6 linked regions of the Oryzias latipes genome follow. The protein of the gene in region 1 binds, or shares a complex with, the protein of each later gene. Links are inferred from orthologs where the notes say so. Each region holds a gene or a part of one and is shown in the gene's direction. Other genes may lie near its edges. The genes, in order: stac3, cacnb1, cacnb2, voltage-dependent L-type calcium channel subunit alpha-1C, voltage-dependent L-type calcium channel subunit beta-3 and dihydropyridine-sensitive L-type skeletal muscle calcium channel subunit alpha-1.

Region 1 (5,173 bases):
ACTGATCTCAGCCAGACATTTTTGAAAACAAATGGTTAAACGAGATGCAATGGTCTTCAAAGGGAGACAATTATCAGAGACCAGCCTAGGAGGCACTTTTAGTAATTAAAAAGGGTGTGTTTCTGGGTAGGCCCGTAGTTTGCAGATTTGCTAACTAAAATTGACACAACTGCTCCCAAAAAGCAGCTAAAACAAATCAAACAACAACGAAATTAGTCTAATAACAAACGACGGAGTTTACGACGTGTGTGGCAAACAAACACTGAAATATTTTACACTGATGACACGGCAGCTAGCGTGAAAGCTAATAGCCGGGCTAGCAGGCTAAGACTACTTTGTAGTATGTTGTCGTGACAGCTGTCAGGCGCACAAAACACTCTGATGCAAAAACTCTTGTATTAGCAACGGTTACAAGAGGCATCCCGTGCAAAACATTGTCTCGAAATAAACACAACAACTTTCCTATTCGAATTACTATGATTCACTTACTTACAGATATCCGTTAGAGGAGGTAGCCACAACAAACAACAAATGCTGATTAACCTTTTTTGCATTAAGCTCCGTGTTGGCTAAGTTTTGAAGTCTCCGCTTTTGGATCGCGGGTGAATCAAGTTAGCTAGTTAGCAAGGCGACTAGCCAGTGAATGTTTTGAAAATGGTTGGTACTTTCAACAATTAAGCGAGACTTTAACCATTACATAATCTAATTCACGAATTAGCGATGTTAACCAGCTATCAAGATTTACGCAACGTCTGACCGTCAGGTTTAAAAACAAAGAGCAGTAGCGCTTCATTTCACTGCGCTTGAGTTCCTGGGTAACCGCTACGAGCTATGCTAGTTAGCAAAGCTAAAGGACTGAAATTTACTTGGTTCTGGAGAGTCCCAGCAAAACCGAGGGATGTCCCGCTCCCCGTCCACAACGATCCGGCCGTTGCTTTTAGTCTCCGTTCTGCTGAACCGTGTGGAATTCACATTCAATTCAACAACCATAACGACCTATGTGATCCCAAATTCACATTTGCTCCTTGTGTTTTTTTTCTTTCCCTTTTTCTTACAAATTCCAAGCAAAAGAAAAAAGAAAAAAAAATAATAATGGAGTTTTCTTTTGGGCATGCGCACTCAGCGCGTCAGGAATATTGTACCCAAAATGCAACGGGACCTTTGTAACGCTTGTCTAGCGCAGGTTGGAGCGTCCTGACAGAGGACACTGCATATATATCTATATATCCATTTATATCTATATCTATATAGATATATATGCATCTACATATCTATATATCTAGATATATAGAGATATAGATATGTAGAGAGATTTTAAACTTTAAAACCAAGTCCAGATGACATCCCCTAAACCTACTACAATGGAACCAACCTGGATGAATGAGAGTCTTCATAGACATACATATAGAGATATGTATATAGATAGATATAGATATAAAGATCTATATCTATCTATATACATAGATAGATAGATAGATAGATAGATAGATAGATAGATAGATAGATAGATAGATAGATAGATAGATAGATAGGGGGGAGTGTGTGTATCCCCTTTTCCTCCCGACTCAGGCTTAGTGAGAGATACTCAGCTGTTGCAAACTGTCAAGTTCACTCAGTAATGCCAAGCCTGCCATGCACAAAAATACACACACTTGGGCATCCATAAATAGTTAGATCTTTCCAGTCCCTTTACACTATTTTGTATATTGGCATATGTAAATATATATTACTTTAGTGAGGTTACATTCAAAGTGTAAAATCCTCTGAAGCGAATATCAAGAAACCACAAATAGGGGACCAAAGGCCAAAAGGCCTGAACTGACAGGACATTTTGGGCGGCTGCTTTGTTGGAGTCAGTAGCACAGATCGTACGCCACACCAGTCATCGTCTTTTGCTCAAGACCCACCATAGAGTTTTGACAATATACTGGATTTGTAACTTCCTCCGTGGTCTTTCACTTAAGGTAGGCTACCATTGCATATATAAACAATGCCTGTTAATAACCATTTCTGTTTCTGTTCTGTAAGTAGATTAAATTTGTTAAGTGAATTGTTCACCACTCTTAAAATCTGTGTGGTTTATTTAAAACAATTTTGTTCAAGATGATAGCTTGGATTTCGTTACGTTTTTTTTCCTGACTAGAAAAAAATCCAAAATTTAGCAATTATGAGATTTCAAAACCCAAAAAGAGTTTGGGTAAAGCTGTAGGTGACAATTTGCAAAATCCAAGTTACACTGTCAAACACAAAATAATGAAGCATATTTGTTTTGTTTTGTTTTTTTACAAAAAATTTCTTTCTGTATTTGATATTTCAACTTTTGCTGTGTGAAATTGTAGGTTGGTTAATATAAACATGCGAAAGTAAATCTGTGGCTAAATACATTTTACATTGGCATTTGTCTATTTTTAAACACTGGCAGTCATAAAATCCTAAACATAGAAACGTAAGGGAGTGATTATATGAACTCTCACAATTAAAAAAGAAAAGAGGTCCTTTCAGATGTACATAAAATATAATATTTTATAAACCAAAGTTTTTATTTTATTGAAATCATTTAGAAATTCTAAATTTTAAGTCAATCAACCCCATGTCAAACGTTGTTCCATTATTTCTAGGTTGGAAAGTGTTGACTTTGTCTGCATTGCATCATGGATCAGTGAGTACAGATCCACTCATCATTTGTTCCGTCAGTGTCAAAATGTTATAAGCTTGTTAGTTATCAATTAACTTAAAACTCAACTTGATAAGTGATACTATTAGAGATCTTTTTTGCAATGAGGTCAAAGTCTACCTATTAATTTCTATAAAATAATTAACTGAAGTTATTTTATAAAATTGTATCGTTTAAGACGAGTGTCTTTTGTAACTTGGAGTAGATTTTTCTTCTGATTACATGGTTTCCATGATGCTTGTTTTTTTTTCCCTAGTCTGTCATGGTAAAATAAGTTCAGTAAGTTCTCCTTTAGTGTCATTGCTGAATAAACATGCACCAGTAGTAAACCTTTGAGTTTTATTTATTAATTCCAAAATTGTGTTTTTTTCCCAATCCGTGGCTTCGGCAGCTTATAGTTTTTTCCACGTTTATTTATCTCAGGGAGGATGACAAAAACTCTGTGGATATTCATGACAATCCTCCAGTCCCTGACAATGTAGTGAGGGAGGAGGGAGACACAGTGAGTGACAGCACCATGCCAACCACCCACCATTAGGGCCATTCCCAGGATGTTTAAAATAGCCACCAGTTGGAACAAGGCTGCAGTCCACTGTCAATTCTGAAAATATGACCTCAGATTTAGATTTCCCTGAAGATAGTTTTATACATGTAGTCTAGACAGTTTGTTTCATTGCCAAAACTCTGACTCATACAAATCGAGATTCTTTATGAACACCACCCTTAACATGTTTCACATTTTCTGCCTAAGCTGTTTCTGCTATTTCTCAAGGTCTACTTCATATATGAAGAGGAAGTTGAAGTGGAGGAAAAGGAACCAGAACCTCCCCCGGAACCCATTCTTCGGATCAATGACAAACCCCACAAATTCAAGGATCACTACTGCAAGAAACCTAAGTTCTGCGATGTCTGTGCTCGCATGATAGTCTGTATGTGCTCACCAGGATACGCAAATACACAACCAGTCCTGTTAAATTTCCCAAAGAAATGTGTTTAGATTGACTTTTCATAGTGATGCTATTTTCTACATCAAAATGATGTGTGACTTTTACTGTTTTTCATTTGCACATCTTGCAGTGAACAACAAGTTTTGTCTGAGGTGTAAAAACTGCAAAACCAATATCCACCATTCATGCCAATCCTATGTCGAGTTCCAGAAGTGTTTTGGCAAAATTGTGAGTTTTATTCATCATAAAAAATGTTATATTTTACACTGATATCAAAGAATATGCAGTCAAATAGATAGACAGTCAATAAAATCTGTGCAAACTCAGATTATTGTGTTTTATAATTCAAAGGCTATAAACTCTTATGAATATTTTATTTTTTATTTTTGTGTTTCTAGCCACCTGGATTTAGAAGAGCTTACAGCTCCCCTTTGTATGGCAGTGACCAACCCGATCCAAGTGAGTCCAGAAAAGTTAGCTCAAAATAGACATGATTATCATAATCACTATTTTGAAAAAAAGAAAGTTACTTGTGTTGGAAAATTGCTGTAGCTGATTCAACAATATAATTGAAATAAAGAAAAATTACACCAGTTTGTACAGAAAATCTCCTTTTGGCTTAGCATAAAAATTAGATTACATCTTCAAAGGTGACATCTAACCTGGACTGTAGGCTTCTGCATTACTAGTCTTTTTAAATATTACTATCAAGCAGTCAAAATTAAATAGATAAATTATTGATTCAGCTCAATAATTTTGCATTCCACCAGATAATCCAAACCGGAATGACCCCGTCTTTGACACCCTGAGAGTGGGCGTCATAATGGCAAACAAGGAGCGCAAAAAGAATGAAAACGACAAAAAAAATGTGAGTGAAGTCTTCCTGTCTCAAACCTAAATTTAGAGTATCAACAAATGATGATGTAAACACTTTACAATGTTTGTGTTCATATAGATGAATAAAAAAACTCAGAATGATAACTCAGTTTTACTTTCTCTCTAGTTGATGATGATGGAGGAAGAGGAGGAGGAGGAGAACCAACAACCCAAAGAGCATGAAGAAGGAGGAGAAGGTATAAATTAAAACTGTTGGTTACTTGCCTTCTGTGGGAAAAATAACTAATATTTTCCTATGAAAATCATAAAAACTACAAAATTTAACCAGCAAACAGAAAATACTTGGTGGACATAGTTTATTTTACACAGTGATTTGTGAATTCTGGTGAACACAGGGAAACCTGAGGATAAAAAAGAAAAAGGAGGAGACAAAGCAGATGACAAGGTACAAACAAAATTATAGCCAATCAATAAATACAAGTTGACAAGAAGCATCTTGTAGGTATAATGTCTAAAATGTTCTTATTAACAGAGTAAGGGCACATTCACCGGATCTCACTATTACCTAGCTCTGTACCGCTTCAAGGCCATTGAAAAGGACGACCTTGATTTCCAGTATGTTTTGTTAGATGGTAGCAGTTCTTTGCAAATGTTCTTTGTTTTGAAAGTCTTTCTCAAAAATACCAATTGTGTGTTTTTGTGTTAGCCCTGGCGA
Region 2 (4,705 bases), on another chromosome or scaffold:
AAATTAAAGATGTTTGTTCATTGTGTCGTGTTGCTGAACATCTTTTCCTGTCTCTTCCATATCCCTGTTTCTTTAGGTACACTTTTTTTTAAAGTATAAGACTCCAAACAGCTTATTCAAATAGCAAGAAAGACATTTTTTATGTGTTTCTGATTCTCACAAACCAACTTCAGCACAAATCTACATTTATTATTTTGGCTTTTGTAGCTGCATCTTGCAGTTTGACTTGATTGCTCAGGCACAGGGGAATTTGTGATTAAAAATTGGAGAAATTAGAACATTTTGGGAGGAGCTGATGTTAGATCAACATGCCAAAAAGGGATTCTTCGGAGCCTTGAATCCAACTTGTTATAACTCATCTAAGGACCTAGCCATAATAGGGTAGACACAGCATAGGATGTACCTCATCAAAAGACCTGTAAGCTTTTACAACTCCTCTGATCGAGTCTGATTTAGGCCTTTTCTCTCTTTTCATCTTGTCTCTTGTGCCCTTCAACCATCCTCCTTACTCTGCCAAACCTTTCCTCTTCCTCCTCCTCCTTCTCTGTCTTGTGATTCAGACGTACTGGGTATGTATGCTCTCCGTGCAATGAAACAATGCAGCTTCTCTCCCTCTTCTTTTCGCTTTTCCCCCCCTAACTATATTCATCATGTACTCATACATTGTTTGTCTGTTTGCCTGTCAGTTTCTCTGTTCCTCATACCTCAGAGTGACAGCCTGCAGTCTGGAACAAAAAGGAAAGAATTACGAAACCCGCGCAGGCAGAGATCTGTGGGCGACTGCTTGCTGCTGTTCAAACCACATATTGCAATTACCCCTAAAAGTAGTCTGGATACAGTACGTCTTTAGTAAGACTCTTGAATGGCCCCTATACGAGCTGGACTTTACCTTTTATATACTGTTAAAACTTGAGTTATTGCAGTTGTTATCCATATTTACTTACCTTAAAAGTTCCCATTTCTTGTCACTTGGACTGACTGACTGGACAGCTTTAATTTGGAGTCCTCCTGGAGGCTTCTGAAATATGGGGCCCCTGTCGATTAAACGGCCTGTTATCTGTCATCACTGCTGAGTTGGCACAACTTTGGAGGTGCTGATGTTTGACCCCCAGGGCAAGGGGCACTCTGGCTGTCAGTTTAACCCTGGCTGTAGACATCGACATCCAGAATCAGAACCGGAAGTCTGCCCCATATCGCTCGAAAAAAAACTGGCAAACCCTGCCAGTTCCAGTTTGGTAATGCTTTATAATAATCATCTATTATAAATCATTATAAATCATCTATTATAAATCATGAATAAACTGTTAGTTAATGGGTTATAAATAACAGTCATCAGTGTATCAATGTTGGAAATGTCCCTCCTTTCTTAACGGTTAATAAATGAGGAATGTTTTCCACTTTGAAACAACATCCCAGTAACAGATAAGCCATTACCTAATACTTAACAAATCGTTGTCGAGAAATTTATTAAATGCTTGTTCATGATCAATTTTTAGTTATAAAGGCACATTTATAGATCCTTAACAAAGTTATTTATAACTCGTTAACTTACAGTTTTGTTAATAATTTACCAAGCTATAACCCATAGTTATTATAAAGTTTTACCTAGAATATTTCCAGTTTTAAGCTGTAATGCATGTTATTTTTACAATTCTGATCACTTCTGGGTTAAGGTTAAGGTAAGTTGTATGTTTTCCACTTCCGGCAGATGATGTCAGGCGCCATTTTTTTCCCTCTCGATGAATGTTGGAACTACGCTTGAAATGCAAAAGCTCTGGTTGGCTGTGGCTGAGGAACAATGAAAACAAAAAGTCCTCCGTCTAGAATGGCTATCCTGATGCAATAATTTTGCTGTGCCTATTTGTGCTAACAAAAAAACGTTTTCTCCCCCCATGCTGTATGTTTTTTTTATCTGTATTTTGTTTGTTTCTGTTTTGGTTACATGGTGAAGAATTGTGCCCTCATTGTAAGCTATTTCAAGTACCACAGGCATCTCATTTCTAAGTGCCTCCTTCCTTTACAACCTCAAATTAGAAATGATCAGAAGCACTTAAGAGAATCTGAAATGTCTGGAGGTGGCAACTGAATGAAGATGCTCCAGTGCTCCATTTAGCTCTGAATAAATGGAACTTAAAACTGTGGTCCAACCTGATTTACATCCTTGAAAGCTTGTGGGCTTTTGTCATTGTTTTTAAAAAAAATCCAAACGTGCACGGTGAGGAACTAACATGTTCGTTTAATAACTATGCAGAAAGTAAGAGAATTTAACTGCTGTTCAAAGCTGCATCTCCTTAAAGATAAAAGCAGCCTGCTTTTTAATAACTTTTTGTTTGTTTATTTATTTGTGTCTCTTTCCTGTGCTGTCAGCTGAGGTGCAGAGTGAGATTGAGCGCATCTTCGAGCTGGCCCGAACCCTGCAGCTCGTTGCTTTGGATGCAGACACCATCAACCACCCCACTCAGCTGGCAAAGACCTCTCTGGCTCCCATCATCGTCTATATCAAAATAGCATCTCCCAAGGTAAACCTTCATGTCTGGTATTAATTTGTAGGGATGGGTACCATTTGGAATTTCATCTGGTGCCAAACTGGTGCTGTTGAAATTGTTCCGGTGCTCAAACGAGAGCTTCAAGAATGGGGATAAAAAACACCCAAAACAAATTTACATATGATGAAGCAGCGTCACGGGTTGAAGAAGAGCACTTGAGTTTGCCTAATATGCTTTATTTCATTCTTTCTGACAGTGTGTACTGCAGCCCTGTATTTGTTTTCACACACGGCAAAGTAAAAATGTATTTTATTATTTTTTTTTTTGTACTTCGAGTGGATTTTTTTTTTAATAAACTTTATTATTCAACACAAACGGAACAAATATGTATGACAGGAACAATAGTCATAACAACAACAATGTCAGGGGATGGTACATGTATTACAAAAAGATTACAAATGCTATGCATTGAAAATATTCAGAGACAGACAGTTTTCATAAATATGTACGGCCTTTTTGTTTAAACTATTAGAAATAGTATGTAAATAAGATTCTAATTCTTTAATTATTAAAGGGAAAAAAAGTTGTGATGAAGAAAACTTTGATTTATGAATATGAAATTTACCAAATATTATAATTAGATTAATTGCCAATTTTACGTTTGATCTTATATTTTTTTCGTGTAGGACAAATATGATATGTTCAAATTTCATCTGATGTTGTGAATCTAAATTATAATTTATAAAACATGCACAATCTTTCCAAAGTTTTTTAGTAGTATTACAATTCCAAAATAGGTGACTGATTGTTTCTGGGTGTTCTTTACAAAAGGTACAGTTGGGGTCAATAGTCTTCTTATATCTGATCATGTATTGATTAGTGGGATAGATTCTATGTAGGAGTTTGTAGGAGACGTCTCTCATCTTGTTATTAATTAATAATTTCTGATGCAGGGTCCAAACATTTTTCCACGGCAAGTCAGGAATAAATTTTCTCCAATAAAAAACAGCAGAGGGAACAGAAATTACATTTTGCTGAAACAGGGCACGTATGATCTTGTTATTTTTTCGAGCACAGTTGAAACAAGATTTTCCAATAGTGGTGTCACTTAGAGATATGAAGGGAATATTTGCATCAAGTACAGTATTTTTAAAGAGTTCACAGAGTAAAAATGTATTTTAGCACTCATCGCCACAACGTTGTATGCATCACGCTCATCCATCAGGTTGCTGAATTAGAATCTTACGGACAAACTTTTGCTGGAACGCTTCACCTACCCCAATGGCCACGCCCCATTCTTAAATGAGCTTGGCTTCAAGCTCCTGTTTTTATGCGGTACTATTTGAGTTGTTGCTGTTGACTCGCTGCAGGTTCTCCAGAGGCTCATTAAATCCAGAGGAAAGTCTCAGGCGAAACATCTAAACGTTCAGATGGTTGCAGCAGACAAGCTGGCTCAATGTCCACCTGTGAGTCCTGATTTAGGAATTATACTTTATTTGGACATTTTTGATTCTCTGCTTCTGCAACACCAACTAAGACTTGCTTTGTTTGTGGCACAGGAACTGTTTGACATCATCCTGGATGAGAACCAGCTGGAGGACGCATGCGAACACCTGGCTGACTACCTGGAGGCTTATTGGAAGGCAACACACCCACCTAGCAGCAACCCTCCCAACCCCCTACTCAACCGTACTATGGCCACGGCGGCCCTCGCTGCGTCTCCCGAGCCCGTCTCCAACCTGCAGGTACAGGTGCTCACCTCCCTGCGCAGAAACATGGATCTGTGGCCTGACTTGGACGGTGCTGTAGCCAGTGAGGGAAAAGAGGAAGAGCACACTGTCTGAAGCACGGCGTTGCGGTGTGGGATGGGCACTCCGGCAACCTGAACCGACCTCTGCAGCCTGCTCTCGCTAGACAGAAGGAGTAGTGCAATAAAGCCCGGTTTCTGCTGTTATGAAGCCGAGAAGAATCACACACATGTGCAAAAATACAGGGACAGCTAGATGAAGAACAGATCTGTAGTCTCGATCCAAACCGGTGGACTGTTTAAAACTGTGAAGGCAACACCTCAAACGACTGAACTTAGTACCTTTGCCCCTGGGGCCCCGTTCCCTTTCACCAGTCAGAGGTAAAATAATATCTGCCCCCCACTCCCCTCTACGTGTCAGTGGCCTCATTTTTTCAGCTCCCCTCCTTCTCTGAAAGGCCAAATCCAGTTT
Region 3 (4,705 bases), on another chromosome or scaffold:
AAGTGCCAAATCTTATTATACCTCATCTCATTACACATCAAAGCTAACTTGAGGCTTTTTGGTTCCCTGTTAACATCTAGTTTCATGGTTCCAAAGCTGTTGTTTCAACCTCTCATGTCATTTGTGATATGGTTAACTTATTCTCACTGTGTTATAACTACTTTGTTTTTCTTTATTTCCAAAGACGGAACACATTCCTCCATACGACGTTGTGCCTTCCATGCGGCCCGTGGTTCTGGTGGGACCATCGCTGAAGGGCTATGAGGTTTGCCCAAACTATCTATCTTCTAATCTATCTTTCTGCGCACTTCCTGATTGACTTTAGCTGTTATCTCCTCTGGCTCTTCTGTTACCAGGTGACCGACATGATGCAAAAAGCTCTTTTTGACTTCTTGAAACACAGGTTTGAGGGAAGGTACGTTTCCTGTGACCTTTACGAGCTCCAATTCATGTTTCCTCCCTCATTCCTCCTCTCTCCGTGTCCACACTGGTATTTATCTGTCCCCTGAGGTTAGCAGAGGGAGTGTGTAACAAGTTTGTTGTGCCTGGAGATGTGTGCTGTTGCTTTAAATAGCCCCCTCTGCATGTCCTTAATAGGCCATAGTGGGTCTTGAAGTGGAGCAAGATTCTCTTTATTCAGTGTTGAGACCTTGAAGTTACACAAGATCAGTTCAGTCCAGCGGCAGCTGCACCTACCATGTTTTAATGAGTCATTTACTCTCTATTATTTTTATTCCAGTTTTTCAACAATTATGTGTATTTCTAAGACAACTTTAAAATGTTTAATCCAAGAATTGATGCTTTTAGAGAAGTAAAGTAGTCTCAGATTGACAGAAAAGATAGTGTTTTCGTAAAATACATCTAAAACAAAAGGCGGGCCTATATGATGCTTTTCTTAAGCCTTTCAGAGTAAACTATATCCATATATATTATGTTATGTTACCTTTGGCACACTAAAGAATGCTTTTTTTTATCAAATATGAGTTATTTTTCGCAGCTAGTTTTCCAACCCGGAAGTAAGACGACTCGATCTCTGAAGCTCCGCCTTTCTCTCCCTGTGGGTGACGCCCACTTCATGACGTCAACCTAGCGCCAAACTCGGCAACAAACAATATCCAAACTTTTGTAAAGATGGATGTGCATATTGTGGTGGTAAAATGAAGTGTTTTAGCCAATCACCATTAGCTCTGCGGAGAAATTGTGTTAGCCTGTGGGGGGGTACTGGAAGCACAGACTCTTCTTGGAAGGGGCTGTTCTCACTTATCTACTTCAGCTTGGGAGAATCCACTCGGTTTCATGGATTAGGAGGGGCTGGTGGAATACTCAGAAATGCATGAATGGATCAAAATACTGCTTTTTTGTGAGGAATTAATGTTATAATACACTTAAAAGTTAAAAAAGTGTTTGCATGATCATCCTGTGATCTATTCTAAAAGTGTTTCCAGTGGTCTTTTTATTATGCTAATGCAAATTTTATCCAAAATCCAAAAATCTGTTTTATTTTCTAGAACATGGTTTCTGCAGATTCATTAGAAATTCCTCTCTGACTTGTGGGCGGAGCAACCCTGCCCTTCTTTCCCCTTCCTGTTACTGAGAGCTCTCTGTTCACATGCTGTACCACTAGCTGACAGCCCCTCAGTGCAACAAAAATGGAAAGCAATGTTGGAATTATCCAGCAATGCAGTTTGAAGCCAGATGCCAGATCGGATAAGATATAAACAAAGACGTACATGGATCTAGTTGGCGCAGGGATCTTTTGGCCAGTCCGGCGTATTTTTTACTTAACAAAACAAAAACAAAAGCATTTTTTTGTCTGCTCCTGATTTACAACAATTTAAATAAAGAAATACTCAAAAAAGACAAATTTTTGCTTAATTTTCTTATCAGAAAAAATCCATCAGAACGTGTTAAAAGCACCGTTTTCATCAGAGTGACTCTTTATTGGGAGTTCAGCTGTCCGTTAGCTTGGATTTCTTCCTTAGTTAGAGATCAGACGGAAGCAGACTCATAACAGCAGGTCAGTTACCGATCAAAGTGGATAAAAATGTTAGATTAAAATTTGAAAGAACACTACAAAGACTCCATTATACTATTTTTTAATTTTAGCGTATTATGTTGTCTGACCATCCAGCTTTATTTGGTGAGGAAACAGTGTTTAAATGTTACCTAAAACTGCTCTCTCTGTGCAAAAGCATGTTTCTGTTTAAAATCCACAAATTTTGTTGTTACTAATTCATACTTTCCATTGCAATTGTCTGTCAAAATCAGCAATAATCATAAAGAATGTGTTTGCAGAACATGTGAGGGGTTGAAAAAAAATCATAAATCGAGTCCATATTTTTCCACTCATACACTTGCTTTTCCTGTCTTTTGTGTCAGAATATCAATCACTCGCGTCACGGCGGACATCTCTCTGGCCAAACGCTCCGTCCTGAATAACCCCAGCAAGCACGCCATCATCGAACGTTCCAACACGCGCTCAAACTTGGGTAAGCCTGTCGTGAATCCACACAACCTGGAAACATCTGGTGTTTTGATTCATAATGTTCTCAAGGAGACCACTTTAAACGCAGGAGGAAGGAAACAATTAAAGAAACCCTTGAAAATGGTAACGATAACTCCTGAAAGGCTCAGAGCTGCATCGGCCGGCCTTGTTGGTTTGGAAATCAAAGGTAGAGCAGAAACGCTCCATAACGCTCAGATGGATTGTATTTCAGATTAGAATGAAAGAGATTCTGGCGTCAAACGGAGGTGACGGGGCTAATCTCTGATATTTATCACCAGAAACATTCATTAACAAGCAGAAGTCTTTGTAAATTTAGACAAAAGAACACAAACATCCTTTTGAAATGTTCATATGGCATAATTGATGTTTAATTTCTGATATTTTAGCCATCAGTAGTTTCTCAACTCACTATTGAGTATGCCAGTCATATCAACTGTTTACAACAATGAAGGAATTTGGTTTTATTCAAAATGTAAAATTTTAAAAAAGGTTTTTCAGGACATAAACATGTGATTCCCCTTTAGTTTCAACTATTTTTAAAAAACTTTTTTCACATTGTTTTGGCTTTATCTTTGCTCTGTTAGTTTTTTGTCCCCACATGTTTATTTTTTGTTGTGAAACCCCATAGTTTTTTTAATTTTTGTGATATTGCATTAAAAAAGTGAAAAAAATTATTACTCAGGGTTGAGTTTTTGTACCATTTGAGGTTGATTGTGGAATTATAGTTAAAAAATTTGTGTTTAGTAAAAGTTGTTAAGTAAAGAACAGATTTAAAGGTAAATTAATGAAGAAAATTTAAAAAATAATAATAAAAAAGTAACTAAAGTAAAAATTAACACGAATACCATCATAAAATGATCAAAAACAATGTTACAAGACTTAAGCTGTAAAATTATGAGAAAATGTTTTAATTTTATGAGAATAAAATTGTAAAAAAAAATAAAAAATGTTTAGAACTTATAAATATAAGCAGAATGGGAAATAAATGGCTGCCATGTTTCTCATTTTGGAGATTGGGTTATAAAAGTCACTCCTTGTCAGAGGTAACATACGAGCCGTCGCTCCTCTTAGAGCTATCAGTTTTCTCCGTATGCCTCATCCCTCTAGTCATGATGTCTTAGGTTTGTGTTCCCTGGAAGACAAAGTGATACATAGTGCAGCCGTGCCTTTAACGGCGTATTAAAGGAGGACGTGCTTTCTCCTCTGGTCTCCTGCGGAATATGAGTTTGTAAAATAGGATAACAAGTCTGTAATAAACGAGGCCTTGTTGAATGTTCAGGTGTTCTAGCTGTGACGGATTGCAGCACTGGCCGTTGCATTTGAAGCCACGCAAAGCCAATGTACTGTTATTTTTAGGTTTTGGTAAAAATTGAATAATCAGTTTAATTTGGAAGGGGTTTAAGGCCCATTTAATCTGAGAGGACACTGACAAACACTTACTTGTTGTTCCTTTAGACTGTGTAATTCTAACCTCTTCTTATTACGATGTCTATTTTAAACTTAATTTGAAAATGTAAAATACGAATGGTATTAATCCAAATGATTGTTTTCCTCTGCAGCTGAAGTCCAGAGTGAGATCGAGCGGATCTTTGAACTGGCCAGGACGTTACAGCTGGTGGTTCTGGATGCCGACACTATAAACCACCCGTCACAGCTGGGAAAGACTTCCCTCGCCCCCATCATCGTCTATGTCAAGATCACCTCTCCAAAGGTGACCACATGACAAATGCACTCGTTCGACGAATGTTCTCTCGTAATAAAGAGCCGTTCAGGCCATACTTCATGCTTGCATTTATCTCGGTTTTGTTTTGGAAACCATTCGTCTTTGTCTTGCTTGACTTCGGAATTCGGCACGTCACACGCCGCAGGATCCAAAAAGGTGGCTGATTCATCGCTCTGACCTTTAGAAAGTGTAAAACAGGCTCATGAGTCAGAGATCGATAAAGAACAGAGCAACAGGGAAAATGCAGGAAAGGCACGGCGGAACAGACGCAGGCTGTAAATCAGAGCGGCAGCAGACTGAATCTTTTCTCACAGCGAGATCAAAGAAATGATCTGTTTTTGTCTGTCCTCTCAGCTGCACCCCGCTGACTGTTAATATGTACTCCAAGGGGATAATGACAGGGTTTAAGATGAATATGTCATCCTTATCAGTGTTGGAGTTAATGTCAGAGATATTTGCTAAAAATATCTAGTAGT
Region 4 (4,705 bases), on another chromosome or scaffold:
GTTTCAATTATGACACCATTGGTAAGTTTTTGCTCTCAATAATGTTAGTTTAAGATGCAAATATGTTGACATGGGAGTTCAGGGGAAAAAAGCACCTTATTAAGCACAGTCTTAAAATTGATTATCACATTTTTAACATGGTGTAACTGCATTATGAAGAATTAATTATCAACTAATTTTGCATTTTTTCTTGTGTTCTTCTCTTTGTATTGTTGGATAATCTTTGCTGCTTATCAGATGTGCGACAGGCGAGGCATGGCAGGAGATCATGCTGGCGTGTTCACCCAACCGACCCTGTGAGAAAGGGTCAACCAATGAAAACAGCACCGCCAGTGAGGAATGTGGCAGCCAGTTTGCCATCATTTACTTCGTCAGCTTCTACATGCTTTGTGCCTTTTTGGTGAGACAGACGGCTGAACAAGGAAGATTCCCTTTTCCAGATAACAGTTCCAAACTCACTTACTGATTCCTGCTTCTCTGCAGATCATCAATCTATTTGTGGCTGTAATTATGGACAACTTTGACTACCTGACACGGGATTGGTCGATCTTGGGACCGCACCATCTTGATGAATTCAAAAGAATCTGGGCTGAATATGACCCAGAAGCTAAGTGAGTTTAAGGAGAGAAAGCATTAGACACTTTCAGAATGATAGTGTTGCTTTTGTCTGTCAAACCGTTGCTGAATTTTTTAATGTAATGTCTTTTATTTTCTTTAATTCTAAAGGGGTCGAATAAAACATCTTGATGTAGTCACTTTGCTGCGGAGAATTCAGCCTCCTCTGGGATTTGGAAAGCTCTGCCCACACAGGGTGGCTTGCAAGGTAAAGCTGACACAATTATAAAAGAAAATACACAAAAATAAATGTAAAAGGGTTTCAGAATGTTTTTTTTTACTAGAATTAAGAAGTTGACACCAAAGCTGGCATCAAATGCTCAATAAGAGAGGGTTAGTTTTTGGCCATGTGTGTTATCTTATGTTTTCCTTTTGGTTTATTTCATTATGTAGCGTCTGGTGTCAATGAACATGCCTCTGAACAGCGATGGAACGGTGATGTTCAATGCCACACTGTTCGCATTGGTCAGAACTGCCCTCAGAATCAAAACTGACGGTAAGATGCACGTAATACGACAAACAGAACTGAAGTAACTTCCACCTAACTGCTCTTTAAAGACCCACTCCAATGATAATCATGTGTTTGGTGTTTTTACCATGTTTTTGTGGCATTTTTCCCATGATGGAGGACCAAAGTAAATTAAGGGGTGGGCTTACTCCACACTAACAGTTCCACCCTCAACTATGAGGCAAATTTCTAATAAACCCCTGCTGCTCTGCTGAAACTATGTCCTAACAAACAACACAGGTTTTTTGCTTTGGGCTAAAAGTGGCATAAATATATATTTTTTAAAACCCACTGGGAACGCTTTTTAAAATAGATCAAAGATGACACGCAAACTCATGACATGCAAGACTACAATATATATGTTTTGTTTTGTATATGCAGGAAACTTGGAGCAAGCTAATGAGGAACTGAGGGCAATTGTAAAAAAGATCTGGAAAAGAACAAGCATGAAACTCCTGGATCAAGTAGTGCCCCCTGCTGGTGGTAGGTGTATTTTTCAAGACAGTTAAGGCTGGTCAAAATCTTACTTGAAAAATAGTACATCTTTTACAGAACTTCTAAAAATACCCGTCCACTAAGTGAATAATGGTCACTGTGTTGCTTCCAGATGATGAGGTTACAGTCGGGAAGTTCTATGCTACTTTCCTCATCCAAGAGTATTTCCGCAAGTTTAAGAAGAGGAAAGAACAGGGGCTGGTGGGCAAGGTGCCCCCCAAAACTGCACTCTCTCTGCAGGTACATGCAGAATTGCATTTACATTGTATTTTACATGTTTAATTATGCTATTTAAGTTATCAAGACAATAAGAAAACAAAGGTAGTGTTTAATAAAATTACAAGTTGACATTTTTTCTATAAGAAATGAACAAGAAAAAGAAAGGAACTTCTGGTGGTGTGTTTTTGTGCATGCAGGCAGGCCTGCGGACATTGCATGACATTGGTCCAGAGATTAGAAGGGCCATCTCGGGAGACCTGAATGTGGAGGAGGAAATGGATAAAGGGATGAAGGAACCTGTGTCAGCAGCATCTGAGGATGATATCTTCAGGGTAAAGGTTGGATGCATACACCCTCACGCACTCTCACAGAGAGAGACCCAGACATGATCAGCGCCAGCTTGAAGCTTCACCACATGCATTACCATGCTTGCATGTGGTCAGAGCCCGGAGAGGACATCTTGCAAAAGCTGCATGTTTGACCACAAGGCTTTGCTGCACATTAACGCTGAACACTGATGCTGCAGTTTAATGAAAGTTTTCTAAGGGGGAAAAAAACGCGCAAAATGAGTCTAAAAAAATTTTCTATATACATTTTGGCAAATAACAGACCACTGTCACTGTAAGTATTAACACCTTTAGTTCCTCTGCAACTTTCCTTTGCCTTCTTTAATGCGTTGTTTCAATGTAAATTTCTTTTTAGCAATTTCTGTTTTATTTTATTTCATTCTAACATGTAAGACAAATACAATAAAAAATATAAATACCATAATTTAAAGACCTGCTCTAATGAATATTTTGGGTGTTTTTAGCATGTTCTTGTGGCATTTCTTTGATGATATAAGACATATATTTGAAAAAAAATTAAGCTTAAAATTGCATTTCTGTGTATTTCTTTTTCAAATCATTGTGACTAAAGAGCATGGCATTTGAAAATAGCTTATTTGTGACATGGAAAATATCCCTATGGGGCCACAAGCTCCCTGGCTTGCTCCATTCTCATGCACCGCACCCACTTAAAAGCGAATAGATCCATGTACATCTTTTTTTTCTTGATCCAATCTGGCTTCTGGCTCAAAACTAAACTACTGGATAGCTCTAAAATTGCTCGCCATGTTCGGTGCAACGGTAATGTTGGGTTGGGGGTGTGGGGGGGCTGTAAGATAGCAGGAGATCATGTAAGAAGAAAACTCTTAGCAACGGGGAAGGGAGGGGGGACAGGGTTGCTCTGCGCCAACTGTTCCGCCCACAAATCAGAGGTGAATTTCTAATGAACTACTGCTGCTCTGCAGAAAATATGTCCTAGAGAACAAGAAGGACACAGATTTTTACCGTTTTTGGCTAAAAATTGCATTATTATAATGAAAAAACAACTGGAAACGCTTTTACAATAGATCAAAAAAGGATCAGAGTGGGTCTTTAATATTTTTTTTGTATTTTCAAATTGTTTTATGTTTATATATATAAATTCTGATGTTTATTCATAGCACATTGCAGGTATTCATCTGTTAAATGGCTAAACTCTTGCGTTCCATTGTCATCATGGCTGATATAAGGCTGGATTGCTGCAAGCAGTAAATGTTAATGTTGCATTTATGCTTTTGTTTTTTTCTTTATTCATCTGTTTTTCTTTACTCACACAGCGTTCTGGTGGCTTGTTTGGCAACCATGTCAACTACTACAACCAAAGCGATGGCCGCAGCTCCTTCCCACAGTCCTTTACCACCCAGCGTCCTTTGCATATCAGCCAGAAAGGCTCCCCTTGCGAAGGCGAAAGCCCATCCCACGAGAAACTTATGGACTCAACCACCTTTACCCCTTCCTCCTACTCATCATCAGGCTCCAACGCCAACATCAACAACGCCAACAACACCAGCGTGACTGGCGTGGCCAACCAGGGTGTCAGTCGATTTCCGAGCCCTTCTATAAGCACTGTAGATGGACACACTGGGCAGCCACTGACACCCATCCTGCTGCCAAGGTCCGCATGGTGCTTCCCTCCAAAAAGGTGAGCGCAAGTCTCCGTAGACCACGTAAAGATTTTCCTTCATATAAAACCTTTTACAATAACTTTTTTCTCTATCCCTGACTGTAAAGAAAAGTTTTCACAGTCAACAAACTATTTCTTTCACCGCCTCTTTATTTACCTGCTTTTTCTCCTTGTCTTCTATTTCTGTTGGCATGCAGGATGTTTTATGACACCCTCATGCGGTATGTTGCCAGGGGACAGAGAAAGAGAATGAATGTTTGTCTGTTTTGAGTGCGCATAAAATGATGATGCAGTATGGAAAAGAGCATAGCTGTCATGGCACAACAGTGGCATTTGTTGCTATGCACAAAATGCTTTAGTTGCTATAGTAAAAGTGCTGCTACTTTAAAGATTAGCCAGCTAAGCTGCAGATAGACTGTTTGGTGTCACATGGCCAAACCTCTCCTATCTACCTTGTGTTGCTGCTCTATTATTGCACACTGTGGCAGGTCTGGGTTAGACTCTGTTTTAGCTCCTTTTTCTTCATCTATGCAAACATCTGAAAGCTGATACTCATCTTGTTTTTAGACCATTAAAAAAATAAAGTTATTCATTAGTTCAAAATGTTACAATACAATGAGATCAGTCTATATTTTTGTAAAAGCTACTTATGTGCTTTTGAGTTATTGCTTTATATTTGTCTCAACTGACAGTTTGAATTCCACGACTCAAATTTTTTCAAAATTTCATGAACTAATCTACTTTAAATACAGATTTTTTTATTAACTAGCTCATTTGTTTTGAACAACTATGAGTTTTTGAACGAATGGTAAAATACAAATGTTTCCATGTTGTTTAATTATGTTGTGTACATGTTTTTTGTGCTGTGAAGCTGCAGAC
Region 5 (5,199 bases), about 12 Mb from region 1:
TGTTTTTTCTCCATTAGGTTATGGCACCTTGCAGAAAGAGGTTTTGGTTCATTTTGATGCCATGTGGTTTAGGCTGTCTAATCCTAATCTTCAACCCTTTCACTATGACAAACACTTTTGTTGGTTCAAAACAGTTGTACCTTCATTGTGAAATAGTACCACATTAATTGTGGGACCATGTTTATTACACAACTAAGTATCCCAAGGCAGGCAGTTAAATGCTTTTCCCAAGTCAACAAATTGTTTTGGGACATGAAAACTTTAAGGATTACACCAATCCAAAGAGCTGGTCTAGTGTTTCATATCTAAAAAACAACCTCAATGTCATTATCTTGTAGTATAAGATAATGACCTGCCCTTTTATTAAGAGGGGAACCTAGTGCCTAGATAATAGAAGAACATCAGGAGCTTTAAGACTCGTGTCCTCCTCAAGGGTTTTACCAAGTTTTTGATGTCATCAGCAACGTCAATTCAAGTCCAGCCTCCATAGGCCCTGATTCTTAGAGGAACTGGCAAGAGTTGATCAGAAATTCGCCTCCCAATTTTGGCAGGACTGATAGCGCAGAGTAAGCCTGCCCTCATTTGCCATCATCCCTTTCTTTACACTTCCTCCTGCTAGTTTACAGCCCCTCAAAACCCCAAGTTAACATTATCGGTGCAACAAAAACGGTGAGCAATGTTGGAGCTATCCAGTCGTACAGTTTTGAGCCCGATGCCAATGACAAGGAAAACAAAGATGTGGATCTATTTGTCTGCAAGTGGATGCATCAGAATGGAGCACAGCAGGGAGCTTGTTATTTATTTCTTTATTTAAAAACATTTAAGAAAATTCACACTTTTTTTCATAGAATTGCGCAAAGAAAGACAAAATTAAACAAAGGGGCCAAAGGAAAACAGCAACAAATGAAAAAGAGAGCAGGGAGCTCGTCGCCTACTGTAGCACGTACGTCACTGCAAAAAGCTTTTTCCAACTGCAGTTTTTCATCTGCCCTTGATTCACAACGATTTGAATAAAGAAATACCAAGAAATTGAGTTTAAATCTTTCCTCCATTATGAGAAAAAGGCACAAGACCATGTTTACATCCAAAATACGATTTTTATTGGAATGGGACTTTAATCTAAAAAAAAAGTTAAAGAAGTATAGCAAGGATGAAACTGTGTTTGTAATAGTTGACGTTTGTGTTTTCTGCAATTGTTTAGCTAAAAAAAATAATAATAAAATAAAGAAAAAAACGTGTAGGGAAACCTCTCCTAAATCTAAACAACCCGAATCTCCTGAAGTCCCACTTTTACTCATCGGCTTTCAGGTTTTTTGCTCCCCGTGAGAGAAAAAAAAGAACGCTTTCAGAAATTAAGAAAAAAACGGAATTTAAAATGAATTCGTATTTTTATTTAGGTAAAAAGGTTTGCAGTTTAGTGTTTGTATGCTTGTTTAGATTAAATTTGGCGTCGGTTCAGTCGACCGCGACACCCCCGGCAAACCCGCACACTTAGTACGGACCTACCGAGCTCGTGCGATGACGCCTCGGCGTCAACGGTTCAAATAAACCTCCGTTTTCCCCCACTCGCTCAACGTTTGCTCCATCAGAACATGTTTTTTTCTTTCTTATTGGAAGATATTATGGCTTATTTGACATATTTCTTTCTTTGCTATCGACCGTCTCTTCGCTCCGCCTGATGCACTTAGTTCTTCTGGCTCCCTCCAGTAACCCATGTCTGTGTGTGCATCCCGCCTCCCTGCGCTTTCGATAGATGGTGCAAGTCAAAATGTCCAAATCGCCTGTGGACCCGCTGTCTGCCGTGGAAACCGGCTCGCAGTCGCAGTATTTTCAGGTAAATCTCGGCCCCTCCGTCCGCAGCAGGGGAGGTGCGATGGAAAATGGCTCGCTGGTGTCTAAAAAAGCTACTTGTTGTTCCATTTCGAGGCGTCGCGTTTTTTCTCTGGTTTTTTTTTTGGCAAGCTGATAGTTCTTTTCCCCGCTGTACTCCCACCTCACTGCGGATCGATCATCGAGCCCATACATTCATCCACCATGTTTTAATTATACTCCGCTTAAATATCGATGGATTTTTGGCCACATATCAGGCCTAAATATAATTTTTTAAAGCTTTCCTATCAAATTCTGTGTGTTTTTCTGACAGTCAGTGCAGCCACACAGCAGCATCCCGGTTTTGCAGGTGTTTTTGTTGGTGTTAGCGTGCAGACTCTGTCACTCTGTGCCACCTGTGGCCTAAATCCACACACGCACACATATATAATTTTATACAATCTAAGTATCCCTGGGATTTTTGCAGCTCCTGCTTCTTCTGTGGGTATGGCAAGATTGTGAAATTTAGGCAGCAGAGAGCACCACAAAAAATATAAACTCCCACATCTGCTTTAAAGCACTAGGACACTCACTAATCATGTAGTTTGTGGTGTTTTCAGATGATTAGTTAGTTTGCATTACATCCAAGTTCATTTGTGACTTTTTTTTTCTTTTCTTAAATAGCATTTTTGCCATTTTTGTCTAACAAAAATGTTACATCAAAGTTATTTTATTTTGTGCCTCATTTGATTCTTGGATGATCTTGTTTGCATTCACGTATACTTTATAACAAATGTTCTAAATGTCATCTCTTATGGGCTTGACAGTCTTGAAAATACACTACTTTTGTGCACCAAAAGGACTTCGGTGCACAAAAGTAAGAATTCCATTCATTCCAACACCTTCTAAAAACCATCTAAGCATTAAGAAACCTTCCATCTGAGTCTTTTTTTTTTTGTCTTCTAAACTCCTCTGTGTCTTTTTTCCCCACTCAGCTGCCCAGGAAACTGCCTAAGCGCAAGAGCCGCTTCAAACGCTCCGATGGCAGCACTTCTTCTGACACCACCTCCAGCTTCATCAAACGGCAGGTAAACAGCTCTGTTCCTGCATTCATTTATTCCGTGTGTATTTCTGGCTGCCGCTGACATTCAAACACAGATCATCAAAGACTATCAGTGACAGCAGTTGGAAATATCCTATGGAAAATGTAGATGAGCGTTGAACAAAGCTCTTGAACACTACTAGCCGTGTTTGTAGTGTTTCACTGGACTATAAGCCATCAACCACTATTTTTCAAGATTAACTAGTTCTATGAGGCAGTCACAAAGATATTTCTAGCTGGGTCTTTTTCATTTTTGTGTTGCAATAATTGACAGTTTCTGTTCATTTTTTTCACCCAGCAGTCTTTAGTTGCTTACATATATATTACCAGCAAAGGGCAGCCAAAGGTTTGTGTTTAAAAACAATCCCAACACAATCTTCTGCTTTTTAATTACTGTTTTCAGGAAGACTCAGGTGGAGAATCCGCTTTATTTAAGGTGATATGTCTGGATGCGAAAAAAAGCACAAAGTTGTCGTCCTGTGTTTGTTAGTTATGTCTTCCTAGTCAGTCGATTTGGTAAGAGTTCCTTCAAAAGAAGAGTTGTTATTGACCACACTGCTGTTTATGAGGTTTTCTGTTTGGTGTGAGGAGTTTGAGCTCCAGATGTGTACAGTCTTTGGAAAGAAAACAGCAGGATCTGCCAATGACAGAAAAAACGCAGATAAATGGCCAGCTTGACCTGTTTGATGCAGAAGTGCTTCTCATTGAAACTTTTAAGACTCCCTTTCAGAGCCAGATTTACAAATATATGAACTAGAGCTGGGTATCACCAAATATTTCGAGAATCAATTTGATTCACCAGGCTTGGACTGATTCCATTTATTTTTGAATTTACATGGTTTACACATTTAGACATAATTGCATAGAAATCCATGAATAATCTATACATGTTTTAAAGATATTCATATGAATCTGATACAGTTCACATACTGTAAAATGTATTAGTGAAATAATACACCAATTACGTTGTTGGCACCATACTGTGTTACATAGGTTTCAACAACAGAGAAGCTCCAACAAAAATGTGCAGATCGTTGTGTTCTGCCTCTCCTGGAGGGCGTTTCAGTTTGGCCACTAGGTGGAGCTAACGCTATTGCGTCACACATTCTACGAGAAGATTTGAGTAAAAAACGATGCTTTAGACCACAAATGGTTACTTAAAAAATAATGTTTCCTTGAAATAGTTTGGAGTATATTTGGAGTATATAAAGCTGTTCATTTAGTCAGCGACACATGTGTTAAGGTCGACCGAGCGTTAGCATTAGCCGTCCTATGGGAAATTTCATTATACGTTAGCATCAGGCTAAGTGACTTCAACTTTACTGCTGGTATGCGTTAAGACACCGGTAAAGGAAATGCACAAAAGATCGATCTCTACTCTTATTAATTGATTATTTTTTTATTAGTCTTTGATCAATTCAGATTGATTAATTGATTGGATCAACCGAGCTCTAACATGAACCCAATATATTCGCAGACTACTGGTTGGATTTCATATCTCATATTAGCATTCTCTGGCTGCACAGTGTCACAGTGGTTAGCGCTCTTGCCTCACAGCAAGAAGGTCTCCGGTTCAGGTCCCGGCTGGGGGATGTGAAAAACTACATCAACGGGGGACCTTTCTCTTTGGAGTTTGCATGTTCTCCCCGTTCAAGCGTGGGTTCTCTCCGGGGTCTTTGGCTTCCTCCCACCGTCCAAAAGCATGCTTTATAGGTTAATTGGCAATTCTAAATTGTCCATAGGTGTGAGTGTGAGAGTGAATGGGTGTGTGTTTGCGGACATTCTACGCTGCGACAGACTGGCGACCTGTCCAGGGTGTCCCCTGCCTTCGCCCACAAGTGGCCGGGATAGGCTCCGGCAGCCCCGTGACCCCGAAAGGGAAAAGCGGTTAAGAAAATGAATGAACATTAGCATTCTTTTTATACACATATCATGTGCATGTTGAGCTAATGAAGAATGTGAAATGTATAGTGGTGCAATATGGCTCCCAAAAAATCCCTCCTTCTATACAAAAATCTCAGATTTTTGGTGTACAACTCGTCTTTATTTTGTTTTAGTTTGAGAAGCGTTTTGAAACCTATTGTCTTCTTCTTTGAAGCTTTTATTGGTCTTCAAGTTTTAATTGAAAGTCCAATTTTGAGAAACTCATCCCACATTTTCGCAGTCAGAGCAAAACAAAGTAACTGATTCCTATTGAACTTTATTAGCAACCCCCAACGAGCAAATGTGAGCTCACGTGCGCACGCTACACTTGCAGCAGAGCTACTGCCTGCTTTGCCTTCTGTCTT
Region 6 (4,705 bases), about 4.4 Mb from region 1:
AGCATTTCCAGCGAGGAGGCAGGGCGATGACGTCACTGATTTCTCCGTCTGTCCGGCTGCTAAGAGACACAGAGATGCTTGGAGCAGTGGAGCTTTGTGTTAGCAGCAGAGGAGACGGCTTTGTGATGGTTGTAAAAGGAAAAAGCATTTTGAAGGAATGCCTTTTCATTTTAACTTTGGGTCAAAAAATGCAGCGTCATTTTGAAAATGAAAAAGCATTTCTGGTTTTGACTTTTATTTTTAATTATGCTACAGAATCGCTTCCATACTCAAAACAGCTGTCAGATTTCATCATCATAGTTTAGGTGAAGGATCCAAAAAGCTTGCTTAGAGATTTCAGCTCTCAATTTCCACTGTGAGGAATATAGTGAGAAAATGGAAGTTCAGGCACAGTTCAAGCAAAGGCCCGGAGTTGCCGGCCCAGAAAAATCTCAGATAGGCAGAGGCGAAGGTTGGTGAGAACAATCAAACTCAACCCACAGACCAGCTCCAAAGACCTACAACGTGATCTGGCCGCAGACGGTGTCACTGTGCATCGGTCAACCATTCAGCGCACTTTGCACAAGGAGATGCTGTATGGAAGAGTAATGCGGAAGAAGCCTTTTCTGCGCACATGCCATAAACAGAGTCGCTTGAGGTATGCTAAAGCACATTTGGATAAGCCAGCTTCATTTTGGAATAAGGTGCTGTGGACTGATGAAACTAAAATGAAGTTATTTGGACATAACAAGGGGCGGTATGCTTGGCAAACAGAGAACACAGCATTCCAAGACAAACACTTACTATCCACAGTCAAATTTGGTGGCGGTTCCATCATGCTTTGGGGCTGTGTGGCCAGTGCAGGTACTGGAAATCTTGTCAAAGTTGAAGGTCGCATGGATTCCAGTCAGTATCAGCAGGTTCTTACAAACAATGTTCAAGAATCAATGACAAAGTTGAAGTTGCGCCGGGGCTGGATACTTCAACAAGACAATGACCCTAAACACTGCTCTAATTCTACAAAGACATTCATGCAGAGGAACAAGTACAATGTTCTGGAATGGCCATCTCAGTCCCCAGACCTGAATATTATTGAAAATCTGTGGTGTGATTTAAAGCGGGCGGTCCAAAATACCTTCAACCAGAATCCAGGCCCTTATTGAAAGTTATAGGAAGCGATTGGAGGCTGTCATTTCTGCAAAAGGAGGATCTACTAAATATTGATGGCATGTCTCTGTTGGGGTGCCCAAATTTACGCACCTGCCTATTTTTGTTTAAGTAATTAAAACACAGTTTCTTTAAATCCAATAAACTTCATTTCACTTCTCAAGTATCACTGTGTTCATCTGCTATATGATATATTTCACTGAAATTAATGATCCAAACAACCAATGATTTATGAAGAAAAATTTTGAAAATTATCAGGGGTGCCCAAACTTTCTCATACCACTGTAGATTGTGCTAAAGGATTATAACTTTATACTGTTTTTTGTTTTCAGCTTAAAGTCGATGAATTTGAGTCCAATGTCAATGAAGTGAAAGATCCATTTCCACCTGATGATTTTCCAGGTAAACCAGTTCATTTGTCTTCCTCTTCATTTATTGTTTTAATGTTGCTGACAGGTAAAAATCAGGGCAGTTGATCTCAACCAGCTCCTTGGGTTGTGTGCTGAGAATTTTAAAGCTGTTTTTAAGTCCATTGAGTGACAACCATCATAATTCGTACAGTCTGAAAATCCTCTCCCCAATCTTTGATTTAGTGTTTTATTCAATGCAAGTTGAAGTGCTGGTATTGTTCTGCAGTCTGTTTTTCTGCTTTTTAGGTGATGATGAGGAGGAAGAACCTGCAATCCCCCTAAGCCCTCGGCCTCGACCAATGGCAGACCTGCAGCTGAAGGAAGAAGCGGTTCCATTACCTGAAGCCAGTTCGTTTTATATTTTTGGCCCTCAGAACAAGTAAGATAATAAAAGAAGTGTTTCAAAGATAAAGATGTGTAAATTCTGTCTAGCTCATGTCTGTACTTTGCAATCCAGGTTCCGTAAACTGTGCTACAAGATCATCAACGCTTCGTCCTTCACCAACTTGATTCTACTTTTCATCCTGCTGTCCTCCATATCGCTGGCAGCTGAGGACCCCATCGATCCAAGGTCCTACAGAAACGAGGTGGAAGCCGAGTCAGACTCAGCATGTTGGACAACAATGGATGCAAGAGGCTGAGCTCTGAACTTAACCTAGTTTTTGTTCTTTTTTTTAAAGATCTTGGCTTATGCTGACATTGTTTTCACAACCATGTTTACCATTGAGATTGTGCTCAAGGTAAGGTCAACAAGCAACAACAACTATTTTGAGATCAGTTGTTTTGTGTCGTCTCTTTTTGTTGCTACTCAGTTTTCATTTTTAAAATAAAAAAATAAACAGTTCAGCGAATCCTGCAGTTTTAACCTTAGAGGAATGAATATCACCGGTATTACAATATAACATGTTTATTTATAGAGATTTAGTTTTACTAATATACGGAGTTAGTATTTTATTGACTTTGTGTGTTTGGTTGAACAAATCTAAATTTCACACAAAAGAAAAGGCAGGTAGTAGTAATAGTGGTAGTGATTAAATAAAGATGAAACTATCCAAATGTTTCTGGTTTATTCTTTATCTAACAAACCGAATGACAAAAGCAGACCTAAAATTATATATAAAGTGTAACTTTATTTTATTGTGTCACGGACAGATGACGGTGTACGGCGCTTTCATGCATGAAGGCTCGTTCTGTCGTAATTCTTTCAACATCCTGGATCTGATTGTGGTCACAGTGTCGCTCCTGTCCATGGGAATGGAGTGAGTTTCAGGATCACACAAGACACTGTTGTCACTTTTCACTGAAATACATGTTTTTATTTTTTATTTTTAAAACACACATGTATGATTATTGCTTTTACTATGTACTGCCTGCAGGTCCAGTGCAATTTCTGTGGTCAAGATTCTCAGGGTGCTGAGAGTGCTGAGACCTCTCAGAGCCATCAACCGAGCCAAAGGACTGAAGGTACAAGACATGCATCGACTGTCCTGCTCAAAAAAATTATGTATACAGGCAATCAGTAAGATACTTAAACTGGAAATTTTGCATAGAACTCCACCTTGTATGTAGGTGGCTGATAAATGAATACATCTATAATAACTTTCATGCATTCATGAACAAATGTCAGTATTCTATTTCTGTAGAACTGACTAAAACCTCAGTCTGATTTAACCCCCCCCCCCCCCCCCCCCCTGTCCTTTTGCGTAACAATTGACAGCTCCTGCAGCAGCAGTCGCTTATTATTTTACAGTCTGGCACTAGTCAGAACTGCAGCAGTTACAAAACATTCACTGTACCAGTTAATAATATATCTCACGCTTAAAGTTGGCCTTGATTTACTGGAAGCAGAACAAAACTTTGTTTGCTGTCATCACACATTAAAGAATGTATATAAAACACCTGAAGGGTCTGATCAATAATCAATCATTCAACTTTAGTCTTCTTCTGCTGCTGTTTTGGGCTGATATCTGATCTGCTTTAAATAGGTTTTTACAGGTAATACATGCAAAGTAAAAGAAAAAATAGAATACCCTAAAGTTACAAAAAAAGTGGGAGGAAAATCAAAGCTGGGGAGCATAAATAAAGAATCAAAGAACATCTGAATATCCCTTTTAGTTCACATTTGGTACTGGTGTTCTTAGATCACAGTCTTGCTCCATGGCTTAGTCTTTCCCAAACTTTAGTTTTGCGTTCTGAAGTAGTTTATTAGAAAAATTGTCAGCCAATCCAAGGACTGCAAAACCCAAACCATCAACCAACCACCGCCATGCACAGTGAAATGAAATGCTGTGTTTCTCCAAAGGTCATTGAATAAAAAGCATTGTAGTTTTGCTCAATAAACTTTAGAAACTTTATGATATAGGCATTTTTTCTGGCAACTTAAATTAAAAAAATGATTTGTAATATTCATATCATATTTGACTAATTATTTGAGTCTTATCAGATTCTGGTTTTCAAACAGCAAAATCTAAATGCTTCCAAAACCAGACCAACGCTTGGGGTCAAGCAGTGCTGAAAAGATCGTTCTGAACACGAGTAATGGGAAAGAACGGCTGATGAATAATGAACAAATAAAACTTTTACACACTTTTACAATGATATTTTAAAAATACTCTTGTCTTCTTTCAAAGATTTTTCATTTATTTTTGGGCCCTTATAACAGAAAGAAAATACTTTTAAAGCGTTTGACTGTTCCATTTCTCAGTACTTATCGCTGTTCTCTTTTCCACAGCATGTTGTCCAGTGTGTGTTTGTGGCCATTAAAACAATTGGAAACATTGTGCTGGTCACCATGCTGCTCAACTTTATCTTTGCCTGCATAGGAGTACAGCTCTTTAAGGTAGTTTTCTTTGTATATGGTCATTGATCTTAAACCCAAATAAAGAAAATGACATGAATCCTCTCCTTCACAGGGCAAATTCTACAGCTGCACTGACCCATCCAAAATGACTGCAGAAGATTGTCAGTAAGTCAGTCACCCTTCCACATCTCCCTCCTCAAAAAGAAACGTTTTGCTGCTAATGTGTGTTTGGATTTACAGAGGATACTTCATAAAGCCCATGGAGAACTCCCTTAAAGACACGGTGTTGGCTAAAAGGGAATGGATCAATAGTGACTTTAACTTTGACAACGTGCTTAACGGGATGCTG

What was found.
Region 2: stac3 (region 1) and cacnb1 share a complex: the UniProt entries of both Homo sapiens proteins name them as parts of the calcium channel complex. The link is inferred for Oryzias latipes from reciprocal best matches to the Homo sapiens genes STAC3 and CACNB1.
Region 3: stac3 (region 1) and cacnb2 share a complex: the UniProt entries of both Homo sapiens proteins name them as parts of the calcium channel complex. The link is inferred for Oryzias latipes from reciprocal best matches to the Homo sapiens genes STAC3 and CACNB2.
Region 4: stac3 (region 1) and voltage-dependent L-type calcium channel subunit alpha-1C share a complex: the UniProt entries of both Homo sapiens proteins name them as parts of the calcium channel complex. The link is inferred for Oryzias latipes from reciprocal best matches to the Homo sapiens genes STAC3 and CACNA1C.
Region 5: stac3 (region 1) and voltage-dependent L-type calcium channel subunit beta-3 share a complex: the UniProt entries of both Homo sapiens proteins name them as parts of the calcium channel complex. The link is inferred for Oryzias latipes from reciprocal best matches to the Homo sapiens genes STAC3 and CACNB3.
Region 6: stac3 (region 1) and dihydropyridine-sensitive L-type skeletal muscle calcium channel subunit alpha-1 share a complex: the UniProt entries of both Homo sapiens proteins name them as parts of the calcium channel complex. The link is inferred for Oryzias latipes from reciprocal best matches to the Homo sapiens genes STAC3 and CACNA1S.

What each region holds. Positions count from the first base shown.
Region 1 is NC_019865.2:7,551,044-7,556,216, reverse strand, and holds the start of stac3 (SH3 and cysteine-rich domain-containing protein 3), read left to right. Parts: upstream 1-1,656; 5' UTR 1,657-1,964; intron 1,965-2,618; 5' UTR 2,619-2,651; coding exon 2,652-2,659; intron 2,660-3,097; coding exon 3,098-3,176; intron 3,177-3,446; coding exon 3,447-3,603; intron 3,604-3,751; coding exon 3,752-3,849; intron 3,850-4,019; coding exon 4,020-4,080; intron 4,081-4,391; coding exon 4,392-4,489; intron 4,490-4,624; coding exon 4,625-4,694; intron 4,695-4,853; coding exon 4,854-4,903; intron 4,904-4,990; coding exon 4,991-5,073; intron 5,074-5,164; coding exon 5,165-5,173. UniProt on the Homo sapiens protein: Required for normal excitation-contraction coupling in skeletal muscle and for normal muscle contraction in response to membrane depolarization. Required for normal Ca(2+) release from the sarcplasmic reticulum, which ultimately leads to muscle contraction.
Region 2 is NC_019866.2:5,369,066-5,373,770, reverse strand, and holds part of cacnb1 (voltage-dependent L-type calcium channel subunit beta-1), read left to right. Parts: intron 1-560; coding exon 561-569; intron 570-2,367; coding exon 2,368-2,519; intron 2,520-3,856; coding exon 3,857-3,952; intron 3,953-4,045; coding exon 4,046-4,231; intron 4,232-4,705. UniProt on the Homo sapiens protein: Regulatory subunit of L-type calcium channels. Regulates the activity of L-type calcium channels that contain CACNA1A as pore-forming subunit.
Region 3 is NC_019878.2:20,095,611-20,100,315, reverse strand, and holds part of cacnb2 (voltage-dependent L-type calcium channel subunit beta-2), read left to right. Parts: intron 1-184; coding exon 185-265; intron 266-356; coding exon 357-415; intron 416-2,379; coding exon 2,380-2,489; intron 2,490-4,065; coding exon 4,066-4,217; intron 4,218-4,705. UniProt on the Homo sapiens protein: Beta subunit of voltage-dependent calcium channels which contributes to the function of the calcium channel by increasing peak calcium current. Plays a role in shifting voltage dependencies of activation and inactivation of the channel.
Region 4 is NC_019881.2:14,667,583-14,672,287, forward strand, and holds part of voltage-dependent L-type calcium channel subunit alpha-1C, read left to right. Parts: intron 1-237; coding exon 238-400; intron 401-483; coding exon 484-611; intron 612-726; coding exon 727-823; intron 824-1,008; coding exon 1,009-1,111; intron 1,112-1,504; coding exon 1,505-1,606; intron 1,607-1,730; coding exon 1,731-1,858; intron 1,859-2,034; coding exon 2,035-2,169; coding exon of another isoform or gene 2,170-2,175; intron 2,176-3,479; coding exon 3,480-3,844; intron 3,845-4,023; coding exon 4,024-4,047; intron 4,048-4,705. UniProt on the Homo sapiens protein: Pore-forming, alpha-1C subunit of the voltage-gated calcium channel that gives rise to L-type calcium currents. Mediates influx of calcium ions into the cytoplasm, and thereby triggers calcium release from the sarcoplasm.
Region 5 is NC_019865.2:19,143,311-19,148,509, reverse strand, and holds the start of voltage-dependent L-type calcium channel subunit beta-3, read left to right. Parts: upstream 1-1,490; 5' UTR 1,491-1,753; coding exon 1,754-1,834; intron 1,835-2,804; coding exon 2,805-2,897; intron 2,898-5,199. UniProt on the Homo sapiens protein: Regulatory subunit of the voltage-gated calcium channel that gives rise to L-type calcium currents. Increases CACNA1B peak calcium current and shifts the voltage dependencies of channel activation and inactivation.
Region 6 is NC_019865.2:11,942,494-11,947,198, reverse strand, and holds part of dihydropyridine-sensitive L-type skeletal muscle calcium channel subunit alpha-1, read left to right. Parts: intron 1-1,478; coding exon 1,479-1,548; intron 1,549-1,802; coding exon 1,803-1,935; intron 1,936-2,013; coding exon 2,014-2,143; intron 2,144-2,236; coding exon 2,237-2,296; intron 2,297-2,708; coding exon 2,709-2,815; intron 2,816-2,932; coding exon 2,933-3,020; intron 3,021-4,287; coding exon 4,288-4,395; intron 4,396-4,468; coding exon 4,469-4,521; intron 4,522-4,596; coding exon 4,597-4,705. UniProt on the Homo sapiens protein: Pore-forming, alpha-1S subunit of the voltage-gated calcium channel that gives rise to L-type calcium currents in skeletal muscle.